Caenorhabditis elegans: one gene and its partner. The protein of the gene in region 1 interacts with the protein of each later gene in a pairwise test. Each region holds a gene or a part of one and is shown on either strand. Other genes may lie near its edges.

Region 1 (6,053 bases):
AATTCCCGCGTCTGGGTAAAACCCGTATAAAATCTAAAACGTTAAAAATTTCAGAACTATTTGACTGCTTACACCTACGAAATGCCAGCTGAAATTCGTGAACATGTGAATAGCATCAAAAACTGCGAGGACATTGCTATGAATTATTTAGTTTCTCATCTCACACGAAAACCGCCAATCAAAACGACTTCTCGATGGACGCTCAAGTAATTTCCAGATTTTAAATGAGTCTAATCTAATAATAATTTCAATTTTCAGATGTCCAACTTGCACGGAAAGCTTGTATAAAGAAGGGACACATTTCGAGAAACGCCACGAATGTATGCGATTGTTCACGAAAATCTACGGCTACAATCCTCTGAAATTCTCCCAATTCCGTGCTGACTCGATTCTTTTCAAGACGCGTCTCCCACAGAATCATCAAAAGTGCTTTAAATATGTGTAAAAAAATCCCCCTCTGCATTTGCTCACTTTCCCTATTGCCGGTATAATTCACTTGTCGAATGGTGCTACAATTTATTGCAACAAGTTGTTTAAAATTTTTTAGTCGAACATAAAATATAAAATAAATCATGGAGATTGAGAGTGATGAGCCAACCATTTCTTCAATTCATTCGCACAACGATCAAACAGCAAATGTACAATCCTTCTTCTACCCAAGCCAGCACTTTGAATTGTAGACACCGGTTGGGTATGCAAATTATTTTTAAGTTAAGAAATTAATTGGCATATGAAATGTATAAAATGGTAAATTTAGGTGGGATGGTTTTGTGAGATTTGAAAACAAGGATTTTGAAAGGTTAAAGTGTTTAAAGATCATCGTCGTCATCTGGAAGATCAGCCTTGGCGGCGTTGTCCAGATCCTTTTCGTATTCGGCAATCATGGCTGGGTCCATTTGAACCTGGAAATTAAAATATTGCTTATGAAAGAACATGGATTTAAAAATACCTCTGGAGGAGCCAAAGCTGGCATTGCGACAAACTCGAGGTTTGGATCTCCGAGCAGCTTTCTGGCGAGCCAGAGGAATGGCTTTTCGAAGTTATAGTTCGACTTTGCGGAGATGTCGTAGTATTGGAGGTTCTTCTTTCGGTGGAAGGTGATGGTCTTGGCCTTCACTTTACGGTCCTTGACGTCGACCTGAAATTTGTAATTGAATATATTGGCCAGTTTCAGCTAGTGATTACCTTATTTCCGCAGAGAACAATTGGAATGTTTTCACATACTCTGGCCAAATCGCGATGCCAGTTCGGGACATTCTTGTAGGTGACACGAGCGGTAACATCGAACATGATAATGGCGCATTGTCCTGGAAATTGGGCATTTCAGAAGTTATAATTTCGAATTTTAACATACCTTGGATGTAGTATCCGTCACGAAGACCACCAAATTTCTCCTGTCCGGCGGTGTCCCAAACGTTGAAACGAATTTGTCCGCGATTGGTGTGGAAGACAAGTGGGTGAACTTCGACTCCGAGAGTGGCTGAAAACAATTATTGAACTGGGAGAAACAAATTCCTGAATTACTTACCAACATACTTCTTCTCGAACTCTCCAGTCAAGTGACGTTTAACGAAGGTAGTCTTTCCGGTTCCTCCATCTCCGACAAGGACAAGCTTGAAAGTTGGGATGCCGTCTCCACCAGACATGACTGAAATGAGGAGATGAGGAGAATAAAATACGAAGGAAAAAGATTGTCAAGAGGAAAATAGCACGAAACTTTTCGAAAATGCGAATTATTGCGAAATTCTACGTATTACCGAAGCTTCAGTTGAAAATCACGAAGCGGTGGATAAATATTTCAAAAACAAGAATGTTCGGATAATGTGTATTTAGAATTGAGCAAAAAAGTTTTAGAAGAGACGTGAAGCTGAGCAGAGAGATTATCTCGTGATCAGAGCTTGCTCATGGAGCAAAATCAGAGAGAACTCGAAAATTACAGTGAACCAACTGAGGAAACAACGCAAATGCATCAAAATGAATGAAAAAACCGAAAAAAGATGACAAAACTTGGCGCCAGGGACAAGAAAAGTATTCGAAAATGGCGCAACAAGCCAGATTTGCGCGCCAAAATGAACAAAATTCGAAAATGTTTTTGCGTAGAACCCCGTGTGTGTTGAGGCATAGGGGCACACACGCAGCCTGTGTCTCTTTCGTCTGGCACACTGCCAATGGGGGTTTCTTCTCTCGTTTTTCAAAAAATCGATAGTTTTCTGGCAGGTTTTCTGCTTCTTGACACTTTCCACGAGCTTATGAGGCATATTTGGAGTTCATTAGAACCTTATTAATCTTTAAACTCTTGTTAATCGCTTCAGAACTGTTGGATTTTGTCAATAATGTTATTTTTTCAGCGAAGATCTCATCATGGGCAAGAAGGATAAGCGTTCCAAGCTTGAGGGAGACGATCTAGCTGTTAGTTTTTAATTTTCAAGCCATTTATTAAATATTGAGTACATTTTCATTATTTCAGGAGGCTCAACAGAAGGGATCATTCCAACTTCCATCCTCGAACGAAACCGCCAAGCTCGATGCTTCCCAGTGGCCACTTTTGCTCAAGGTAGTTGAGTGATCTCATTTAAAAATTAAATTATTATTTCAGAATTACGACAAATTGAATGTGCGCACCAATCACTACACACCACACGTCGAGGGAGTATCACCATTAAAGCGTGACATCAAGAACTACATTTCGTCTGGATTCTTCAATCTTGACAAACCATCGAACCCATCTTCTCACGAAGTCGTGTCCTGGATCAAGAGAATTCTTCGTTGCGAGAAGACCGGACACAGTGGAACACTCGATCCAAAAGTATCGGGATGTCTGATCGTTTGTATCGACCGTACCACTCGTTTGGCCAAGTCGCAGCAAGGAGCTGGAAAGGAATACATCTGCATCTTCAAGCTCCACGAGGAAGTTGAGGATGATCGCAAGGTGAAGCAAGCCCTCGAGAAGCTCACCGGAGCCCTCTTCCAACGCCCACCACTGATCTCAGCTGTCAAGCGTCAGCTTCGTATTCGTACCGTTTACGAGAACAAGTTCATCGAGTATGATCCAGCTCAACAGATGGGAATTTTCAAGTAAGAATCCTTATAATAAATCTAATTTCTAGTTTTCATTTAATTTCAGCTGCATCTGCGAGTCGGGAACCTACGTTCGTACAATTTGTGTGCATCTCGGTCTCATCCTCGGATGCGGAGGTCAAATGCAAGAGCTTCGCAGAAACAGATCCGGAATCTGCGATGAAAACGAGAATATGGTCACAATGCACGACGTTCTCGATGCTCAGTATCTCCTAGACACCCAGAAAGACGAGAGCTACATGAGACACATCGTTCGTCCACTTGAGGCTCTTCTCACCCAGCACAAGAGAGTTGTTGTCAAGGACAGTTGCATCAACGCGATCTGCTACGGAGCCAAGATCCTTATTCCCGGAATTCTTCGTTACGACGATGACATCGAGGTTGGCAAGGAGATCGTCATCATGTCGACGAAGGGAGAAGCCATCTGCATCGCTATTGCTCAGATGAACACATCAACGATCGCTTCAGTCGATCACGGAGTCGTTGCCAAGTCGAAGCGTGTCATTATGGAGCGTGATGTGTACGGAAGAAAGTGGGGACTTGGACCGGTTGCATCCAAGAAGAAGCAAATGGTCAAGGACGGACTTCTAGACAAATTCGGAAAACCAAATGACACTACTCCAAAATCGTGGGCCAAGGAGTACGTTCAAACTTCGACGAAGAAAGAAGTCAAGAAAGAGGAGACGCCAGACGAGGAAGAGGAGGAGGCACCGAAGAAGAAATCCAAAAAGTCCAAGAAGCAAGAGTCGAGTGATAGTGATAGCGATTAAGCTCATTTTTATGTTTTTTCTTTTTTAAATTACCTCTGTTGACTATTTACTTGTTGTTCAAAAATCTTTTTGTTGTTATTCATTCTAAACATCGTTTTCCTTGTTGTACCAATTTTGTTGAACATTTGAACTTTATATAAATCGGATTTTCGAAAGAAAAAACGTGTAGAGATCAAATAACATAATTTAGGAGTTTCCAGGCAGTGTCGACAACGATCGGACGTCGAAAAAATTATTTTTTTTTCTTTAAAAAGAACATTTAGATTTTTAAATGAGGAAAACCATTCTTTTAGCAAAGAAAACAATTCATTCGAAAAATAAATTGACGTGGCCGACGTGAATTTACGAGGCCCCACCAAAACAGGATGCAGGGGGGGACCTATTCGCAACCACCGCACACGTTTTTTCTTTTGAAAAAATGCAACAATATCATGGAAAAAACGTGCGAGGCTTGCGAAAAAAGTGTGCGGTGGTTGCGAAATAGGCCCCGAAATAAACAAATTATAACTTAAATTAGTTTGTGAAGTCGGTTTCTCTCCGACACACGCGTCACATAAAAATGTGTATTTGGCGTATTTTGTCTTCATTGGCAAAGCGAGAAGAACAAGACGATCAGCAGCACAAGGATGAGGAGAAGGAACGCCGGCGGTTGGCTTATGGAATTGCCGCGAATCCGGTACGTTTTATTATCGATTTTTTTGCAACGTGGCCTAGAAAAAGCGAGAGCTCGGCCAAGATATTTGAAGGTGGCCGAGTTTTCGCATTTCGCGGCCACGACGTAAAAACGGAATTATTAGCATTGAAAGAGCATTGAAAAAACGCAGTTTTAAATTTCAGTATGTGGTAGAAGAGATCAAGACTCCCAATGGAAACGTCACAAAAGTGATGGAGAAACGACGATCCGCGGTGGCCCCGCCCATCACACCAGCCCTCGGAGCAGGCTCGACCAACGGACCATACGAGAGTCGGACCAAGACCGCTCAAAAGGAAGAAGCAATGAGCTGTCACTTGCAAGTGATCGCCGACAATTGGGGACGTGGAAAGGAGCTCATTTCGCTCATCAATGATTTGGATCTCCCTGCGCCGCTGGTGACGACAGAGGAAAAGGCGCGGTACGCTTTGGAGCTCGTGCAACATCATGTGGAGAAAATGACCGAGCAGAAGGTTTTCCTGCACGGATATCTTGATGATGGACCGCCGTTCGTTTGCTCATCGGAGACCTTGGCGAAGGAGATCTTCAGCGATGCCCGTCTTGAGCTGAAGCTTGAATTGACGTCACCGGTGCACATGAAGATGGACGTGTTCTCTGTGAAATTGGAGCCACAACAGAAGACAGTGCTGCCAGAACCCACCAAGGAAACGCCGAAAACCGACGCTCTCCTCACACCGGGATCTCATGTAAGTTTAAAGGCACACGCTGGGTCTCACAACGATTTTTGTTTTCAGATTAAGGGAAGATCAATGGCGGCTGAATCGTCGAAGCGCAAAGCCCCGAAGCTGCCCACTGATTTGACGAACTTGGTCCCACTGCTCCAACAAGCTCAGATGCTTCCAGTCACCGAAAAGGCCACCAAGGAGAAGCTCCAGACTCCGGTTAGCTTAAATCTCATGATGTTTTTATCTAAAATTTCAAATTTTCAGAAGCAATCGCCAATGCCAGGCACCCCGGAAAATACGTCGCTCCCACCGTCCTTGATTAAGAAGAAGAAGAAGGAGTCGACATCGAAACAAGCAGCGCTGGAAGCGTTCGTCACTGTGGACAAGCCACACGATTGAAGTTCTTCTGAGCCCCCGACCGCCTCTCGTGATTTTCCCCCGTTTTTAGGTCCTTCATTTTTTTTATGGAGCCCCATTTCCCCTTTTCTATGCTCATCGTTCCCCACAATTGTATTATTTATGACCTCGTATAGTCCCATTCTTTTTTCAAACTCCCCGTCCGTATTTATTTCCCCACACAATTTCACTTCTATTACTTTTCTCTGACAATAAATTTTTTTTTGTCAAATTTTGTTTCTCTTTCGACATCAAGGAACTTTCAGTTTAATGATTTAGTGGGTTACTGTAGCTCTTAAAGGCGCACTCATTTTTTACGGGCGAAATTCAGGTGTTTCTAGGAAGTCTGTTTGCCATCATATTTTATCAGATTTTTTTGGCCGAAAAATTTGTTAGTCGATGCACCATGAGTTTTGTTCTCGATGTTCTTCA
Region 2 (8,086 bases), on another chromosome or scaffold:
GCTTTCACTGATATCTATAGGCTTTTTGCTATCTTTTGCCCCACACAGAAAGAGTGTTCTCTTTTCTCTCTTGTCACTTCACTTTCAACTGATTGTCAATAAAAAATGAGGAGAGTGAAATGTTGTAAACGAAACGTGCTCGTTGTGCAGAAACTCATCGCGTGCAATTTTTGATATAGATCTGAGCTACTGTTTTTTTGTTGATAAACTTTAAAGTTGGAAATTGGTGGAGTTCCAGTTTATGATTCGTTTTTTGAACAGATAATGTCAGGACCGCAGTTGAGAATTGGAAGGAGTATCGTAAGTCGAAAAATTGTTAAAACCGGTTATAGTGTCCATAGTGTCTAACATAAGTAAGTTATAGTAGTTATAGTTATAGTTATAGTTGTAGTTATAGTTGTAGTTGTAGTAGTTGTAGTTATAGTCATGGTGTCGACAGACGTCTAAGATGCCCAAAATAATTTAGCAAAACTTTTCAACAAATTTTTCAAATATTGTTATTTACAGTCAAAAAATGATCATAATTTTGGAAGTTGAACAAAAAATTTCTTTTTTTCTACGAGTTTTGTATTTTACCATGTATAAATTGTTATCATATAATCATTCTAATGGGTTCAAATTTGCAGACATTCTCGACATTACCCAAATAGTCCTCACTTTTAAAATATTTGCCAATTTGTTTTGGAAAATTGGCAGTTTACCAAATCCCTGCTAGAAATATTGGCAATTTGCCAAAATATCGGCAAAAATTTGGCAATTTACAAAAACGTTTTGGAAAATTAGGCAACTCACTAAAACTTTCTTTTTCAATCTAACTTTTATATATATATGTTTTCTCAACCATTTAATATGGTCAGTGGCCTAGAAAAGTCAAAATGCCTGACAGTTTTGACACAACCTTTAAAATTTTTCCTGTTGTTTAATAAAAACAAAAATTAAAAATTTGAAAACTCACCTTTAGCTTTATCATTATTATTTACAACGGACCGAAGCATGTGCACATACAGTTTTGATCTGAAATCATCATACATTCCATATTCAAAAGTACAAATTTAAAGTCAAAGTCAGCAGCATAAGTACATACACACGGTTTCTTCCGAGAATTGAGCTATTTAAAAGGGATATGGCATGAAAAATTCATAAGAGTTTTGGTTTTTGCTGCAAGACTCGTCCATTGAAAAGAGGAAGGGAGGATCACAAGTGAATGAAATATGAGAAGAAAAGGGAGGAAAATATGAGATACGGAAGAGAAAAGGAACAAATGACGGTGTGGATAATTGTGAGAAGATGAATACGAGTAACCGTAATTGTGGCAGAAGATGGTAAAAGTCGAACTGGCGTCGTCTGAGCGGCAGCAAAATAATTAACCACTACGCCACCGGTGGTTTTTAAGATTTTTTTATTTGATTAGCAGTAAATATAGAAGTGTTTTTTAAGTTTTGTGAAAAACCTTACAATTTGCCAATTTCAAAGTTTTCCCAATTTTGGGCATAGAAAACTGGTATTCAAAAGAGACATCTACTAAAGTGAGGTCAGGCGGACAAACAGAGGACACGAAGAGTGTGTGAATTGGCGAGACGCAGAGATTCGACCACTCCCAGACAGTGTGCAATCCGGGAGAAGCGCAGGAGTGGAGCAATTGTGTGGTGCGCAGCAGGCGGGATGGGGAAGCTGCCTTGTTTGTTGATGTTGTTGCAATCCATTTCTCATCTTTTGCGCGTTCTTTTTTCTCGGGAATTATTCATTTTGTCAATAGACTTGTACTGGAGAGAGATGTATATGTAGATGGGTTTCATGTAGTAGAAATTGAAGTAGTAAGGTATTTAACAACGAAGTGAGATCATCAGAGAGGGTGAAAAGGGGCATATTTGAAAGAATAAATTCAACAAAACGAGCTAGACACACATCAAATAGTAAAAGAGCACTGGGAACCCAAATAACTTGAAACTAATATCACACAGGATCAAACAACAAAAATGTGAATAGGGCATGATGAGGAGAGAGATGAAACATAGAAAACAACATATATAATAAGGTCGAATCAATTGCGGGTGAAAAGAACGTAGAACAGTCCGATCTGCATGATGAGTACGATAAAAACCAGCGCGAAGAGGATGCCGATGACGCGACACTGCCACGCGCCGCTGACCGTTGAGTGTCCGTCTTGTTGCGAGACCGATGTGAACACTGAACCGGGTCGAGTGCTGTAAATAAATAAAATTGATGGGAATCTTGAAGGTTAATAGAAGGAAAAACGTAGAAAAACCAAACAGAATTTAGTCAATCTTTTCAATAAATGCTGGTTCTTGCAAAATATTATTGGCTCCAAAATACCGTAACCACGGTCTCGAAACGAAAATCTAATCTTCAAATTTTAAATCTAAATTGAATAATAACGGAATTTTCAATTCTTTTTAAATTAATTTTAGTTTTCATCTGAGCTTACGTGACCTGTGACTTGAAAGGTCTAACCAAAATTCCACATATTATTTATCAAAGTCCAACGTCCAATCAGTTCTAAGTTTTTAAAAGTCTAATATACAATTATCCTGCACAAATGCTATCACACTATTGCTTCTCTAATTATCATTCTAAACAAAAAATAACTGATTGTTCAAGATTAAAGGGTTAAGTTTTAATAAATATTTCAGTTTCAACAAATCTTACTGTGCTTCCGGTGCCATGTAGTGGCTCCTGTCGTATTGTGAAGCTACCATAGATCGTGGTGGCCCGAACAATGATCTAGTCGGTGTGTGATTCTGTTGCTGAGCCATTTGCCGGTGTTGTCTTGAGAATATACTTGGAGAATCGACAGATCTCGTATCAAGATTCAAATTTGCCACGGAGGGTGTAAGCTGTTGAGCAGTCATTCTTTCATTGATATTTCTGGATAAAAGTCCTGGCTTGAAATGACTGGAACGAGTTGATTGAGCAACCGATTGAGCCGCCATCGATTCACTATCATCCCAATCCATTGATTCCACGTGATTGTTAGGTTTAGTCTGATAACTTTGCATATTTTCCTTGTTCTCCCGACTTCTCATTGCAGACCACACTGGACCATTTGTTATTTCACGGAGCAATGGTGGAGAGGAATTCATTGCTGGAGGGCTTGCTGATGGCGTATGTGGAGATCTTCGAAGAATCGTGTGGTCATGATCGAGAAGTGAAGCGTTTCGACTGTTTTGTGAAGAGCATTGAGAGATCGGAGTTGACGCAACAGAGAAGGCACTGAAAATTGAAAAAGTTGAAGGAATTTTTAAAAATAAAATATTTATTTAACCTTGAAACAATCTTATTCGGTCGTTTCTTATGCAGCTTTTTCCTTGGAAGAAGTGTCACTGCCATTGAAAGGATCGTTGAAAACGAAGCACATGCACCTCTGACAAGAGCGACATCTTGTGATAAATTCTGAAAAAAAGAGGTGTAAAACTTGCAAAGGGTATATTTTGAAACTCACATCACTTGAAGTCAAAACTGTTAGCATTGCGAGGATCAGAAGGATGGGCAGCAGCAGGTCGGGAAGAGTAACTCGGCATCTGAAATTAAAATTACAGTTTTTTTGTATTGTAGAATGAAACTTACTTATTATTAAATGCAGCAATCAAATGTGTAGTGAAGATCAGAAAATTGATGACGAAGGAATATTTATAAACTTCTGGCAGAATATCTTGAAGAGCCTTTGGCAAATTGATCAGCGATGCTCCTGCATCTTGCTGTAAGAAGTCGATATTCGCCAAAAAGAGAATAATTGAAGAGATGAGGCATCCAAAATGAAGAGCTTCACATGTACTTCCACCGGCGAAGAAGAATCTCCGCGATCGTTTCTGATTGTTCATCACTTCTCGTAGAGTAGATCCAATTGCATGTTTCAGCTTATATTTCACTTTCAGAAGATATGAGTATTTCTTCTTATCCTCCTCCAGCTTTCCATGAACTTGAATTGTACATCTCGGACACAGCTGGTACATTCTTTCCAGTTTGTATCGATAATCCTCGAGCTCTTCGTTCCATCGATCCTCATCAATGGGCTCGAATTCTGCGACCTTGTTCATTATGATCTCCTGGCCGAGGTTGCATTCCGAGCAGAGACCGTTAGAAGCTTCTGGAATTTTAATTTAACTCATAAATTATAAAAAAAGGATATTAAACTCACTAGGACTCATGTTCACCCCGCCAAATCGATCCAAAAATGTGCTCGGCTTCTCTGACTGCATTTTCCCCGGCTCACAATATCTCTTGGGTGTAGTCCACGCTTGTCCAGGAATCCGACGGTTATAGTCTCCGTCTTCGGTGAATCCGTTGTATTGTTCGCATGACGGGCAGGTGAAGCTATTCCTTTGCTGGTATTCGACCTTCGTGCTTTTGCGGCAAAACCAGCACTCCACCGATGTCTTTATCCGAGGTCTGAAAATATGTATAATTATTAATTTTTTGCAAATTAAGAAGAAAAACATTACCTTATAGCCTTATAAAGGATCGGAACTGAAGCGATCACACCGACCGCAGCAGCCACCTCCATCTGAATTTATATTGAAATTTTATACTTTTTTAAACATAGATTAAAATAGGCAGACTTGTTGATAACAAATTACTAATTAAACGAGAAAATATCAGTTAAATTCCAAATGAAAATATAGCACAATTCATATACAAATACAGAACAAGAACACGAACGATAGGTTTTTTCGATGATGACTATCGCAAAGAATCGGATTTGGATGGTACGGGGAGAATTAAACAAAAAAAACGAAAAACTTCGCAAAAGCACTGGCGAAACGGAAAATCTAAGCGGTGAATTACGAAATATAGTGAAAAATATAGAGTTGAACAATTTTGCAGTTGGATTTAAATAAATCAGTTTAGCATTATAATACAGCAACATGGGATATGGGATGGTAACTAAACGAAAATAACTGGAATGCGGGGCAAGAACTCGGTGAAATATTCAAATTCGTCTAGCTTTTCGTCTCGATCGCCTCGAACACCTTCCTCGCGTTCTTCACGTTCATTGTGATCATTGGAGCCGATGCGTTGCCGTCGGGTATCACGATCTGAACAAAATAAAATAGTGTTTTAAAATACATTTTATTTGAGATTTTACCATAACATAAGTGTTCTGGGTGAACGAGTCGATGAATGCGGAGAATTGACTGTTTCGGACTTGAATCGAATCCAACTTGGACCCCATTTTTCTGAAAGGAAGATGAAGCTTGAATTAATCTGTTTCGATGTAACTTACGTGCATGAAAGCTTGAATTGCTTTATGATGTTTGAAACCTTCTCGAATCGATGTGGATCCTTATGCTCTCGGAGAACAGCATGCGCAATAACCAGGAACGTCGCTCTCTCGAATAGAATAACTTCATCGGCATCCAAAATAGCTCCGAACTTCTTCAGCTTGTCCTCCATGGTTCCGACGTTTGGCACCAGATGATAGACTATCGCGGACCACGCTTTGTAGAGTGTCTCATCCCAAATACTGCTCTTGAAGCATTGACAAACAGCGTTCGTCCGTTCATTCTGAAGTGGAGTCGCTGCAAGTTCACTGTATCGCAGTACATCTGCTTCACGACGTTTGAACGTCTCTTCACGTTTGTCCTCCTCGATCAGATCCATTTTGTGAATGAGACAGAAGACTTGAGCATTCGGTGAATTTTGGAGAAGAGCTTCGAGACAAGACTGGTAATATCTGAGATCTTTCTCGAACTCTCGGCTTTCCACGTCGAATACGTATATGAGCACTTGAACATTCTTGAAGATCTGATCCTTTTGCGAGACGAGGAAGTTCTCCATGAATGATTCCTGACCACCACAATCCCACAAGTGAAGAACCATGTTTCCGAGGAACCTGGAAAAGGAAAAATTGTGTTCTTTTGATAATTGATCCAGAATTGATCCCTTACTTGACATGAGCATGCTCAACTTCGATTGTTGGCCCGAGACGCGAACAATCCCTGGCGATGTAGTTGGCAAATATGATCGAACGCATCGAAGTCTTGCCGGATCCACTTTTGCCCATCAGAAGAACTTTTCGTTTTGAAGACATCTTTTCTGAAAATAAATTATGTTTTTTTCTGAAGATCTTTGAAACAAAACTAAGATATTAGAACAATGATCATAAAACATCCAAATTTTCAATCAAGCTATAATTTTTTAAAAAGAATTTATAAACTCATGAAAGAGGAAGAAATACAAGAAATAGTGGGAAGTTATTATTGAATGCAACGAATTGTGAAATAGGATGGAATGGAAAATCTGATACTCACTAACACGAGATAAACAATCAATGAAGGTGAAATCAGAATAATTGAATTTCAATAACCACCTAAACAAGAAAAAGAGTAGAGGGGGAAAAGATTGGACCAAATTAAAAGTTGCCCGAGAATCATATATTATGTATTAGAAGAAGTAACAAATAAGCCGTGCTTCTTATCACTGGGGGCGCTCACTTTTTTTAAATGATAAGATAATGTTCTTTAGAAGAAACCAGCAAAGATGAGAAGCCACGGAAAATTCGGAAACAAAATTCTAAGTGCATCGGATGCAACGGTTTTAAAGTCGGTGGGAATATGGGGAAACATGAACAACGAATGGAGAATGGGAAAGAACCGCAAAATCGAGATTGATAAATTAATAAGTGAAATTTGCAAGAAACACACACACACAGAAAAATTTTGGAATTCTGGTTGAAAATGAGGGGGAAGTTCGAAGTGAATTGCATACAAGACTATAAACAGAAAAATGTAGAAAATAATTGGGATGTGAAACGAATTGGGGATGACACGAGTTGCAAGGGCTTCAAGCCTCGCTGCTGTCTCCAGGATGGGATATACTCGCAGCAAGTCCAACCATTACCGGGTCGGATGCTTTCGATTCGTGCGAGTTGTTCAACGGCCAATCCGACGCTTCCCCTTGAAGATGAATGTCTGATCCAGGCCACGCATCGGAGCTACTGGACGACGCCGAGTTTGCAGCTGCAGTCGGACTGATGGTTGGGAACGAGGAGAAATCGGCCCACATATCGTCTTCCTTTGGGGGTGCCATGTCTGAAAACATTGATTTTAAATTGAGTAATAAAATTGGTTCAACATAGGTGGGATGGCTTACTCCAGGAAATCGGAAAGGGAAACCGACGTGCAACAATCTACAGACTTGATGGTGGCTGCAATCCCACCTATCATGTCCAGCTTTATTACCTAAATGTGAAAAGTCAGGTGCCGTCTCGTCAACCCAGTTATTTTCCGGACGATGTCCAGTCTGAGTGACAACTTCGGTTTCCCCGAGTGGTGGCACAGTTGGCCACACCCACTCCCCGTCTCCTTCTTCCTGTTCTAGAAAAGCCTGATTCCCGTTTGTCTGTTGTGGATACGTACTGGCAACGACACTCGGTGGTTCCGACGCCTTCTCTGATGTCTTTTCTGCCTCTCCAGGCCATTTGATTGGGCTCGTCTCGAAACTTATTCCAGCGCACGACGAGGAGTTGGCTCGCTCTGAGCACAACTTTCTGAACTCATCCTCGTCCGGCGTGTCGTCAAATTGACCTTCAAAGTCGGAAAATCGCTGCATATTTGGTTCGAATGGCGAGCTAAAAAATAGATTAGACGTAAAATTGGCAATAATTTAATAACTAACCTAAAACCAGAAAACGCTTGCTTAGCAGATGATGTTGCATCCATTTCGGCGAATTTCGTAGAAGCATCAGTCCACTCTTCACTATCGTTGAAACCGTGACTGTCGTTTCGAATCGATGAGACCACACTGGAATCATTAAAATCGTGTTGCATCTGAGGGCGATGTTTCAAGTTGTAAAGATGAATGATATCTTCGAGTTCTGTCCATGTGTTGTCTGCCTGGAAAAATTATAAAAAATATATATAAAGAACGATAATAAATAAATAAATAAATTATTTACACTCAAAATAGCAAGCAACTTCTGATTGGGAATTCCTGCCTTCTTCGCACGGTTGATAGCATCTCCAAGGTTTTGATTGAACGATCGGAGACCACTGCAAGCTACCGAGGATCCAGGATTTGGAGAGGTCGCTGTATCGTATATGTTCTGAATTAGTCCTCCTTCTGTGAG

Evidence for each region. Proteins that work in one complex are often made in the same cells at the same time.
Region 2: the proteins of ran-1 (region 1) and samp-1 interact in a two-hybrid assay, tested with the Caenorhabditis elegans proteins (one large-scale study listed by BioGRID).

The regions. Positions count from the first base shown.
Region 1 is NC_003281.10:10,746,081-10,752,133, forward strand, and holds ran-1 (GTP-binding nuclear protein ran-1), read right to left. Parts: upstream 1,649-6,053; 5' UTR 1,647-1,648; coding exon 1,529-1,646; intron 1,481-1,528; coding exon 1,355-1,480; intron 1,308-1,354; coding exon 1,186-1,307; intron 1,139-1,185; coding exon 950-1,138; intron 903-949; coding exon 810-902; 3' UTR 501-809; downstream 1-500. Other genes in the region: rib-2 (Exostosin-like-3 homolog), read left to right, coding at 55-206, 259-445; dkc-1 (Putative H/ACA ribonucleoprotein complex subunit 4), read left to right, coding at 2,362-2,409, 2,468-2,554, 2,597-3,075, 3,125-3,848; enu-3.6 (ENhancer of Uncoordination), read left to right, coding at 4,408-4,524, 4,686-5,246, 5,295-5,441, 5,490-5,624. UniProt on the Caenorhabditis elegans protein: Ran GTPase system comprises ran-1, ran-2 and ran-3 and is essential in nucleocytoplasmic transport. Ran-1 is a GTP-binding protein that mediates the interaction between mitotic chromosomes and kinetochore microtubules.
Region 2 is NC_003280.10:11,299,327-11,307,412, reverse strand, and holds samp-1 (Transmembrane protein 201 homolog), read right to left. Parts: upstream 4,523-8,086; coding exon 4,461-4,522; intron 4,408-4,460; coding exon 4,157-4,407; intron 4,106-4,156; coding exon 3,586-4,105; intron 3,540-3,585; coding exon 3,461-3,539; intron 3,412-3,460; coding exon 3,284-3,411; intron 3,232-3,283; coding exon 2,668-3,231; intron 2,205-2,667; coding exon 2,042-2,204; 3' UTR 1,727-2,041; downstream 1-1,726. Other genes in the region: rsf-1 (Ras association domain-containing protein 1 homolog), read right to left, coding at 956-995; raga-1 (GTP-binding protein), read right to left, coding at 4,959-5,054, 5,105-5,195, 5,243-5,851, 5,907-6,049; saps-1 (Serine/threonine-protein phosphatase 6 regulatory subunit), read right to left, coding at 6,802-7,049, 7,200-7,588, 7,636-7,853, 7,916-8,086. UniProt on the Caenorhabditis elegans protein: Plays a role in nuclear migration in hypodermal cells.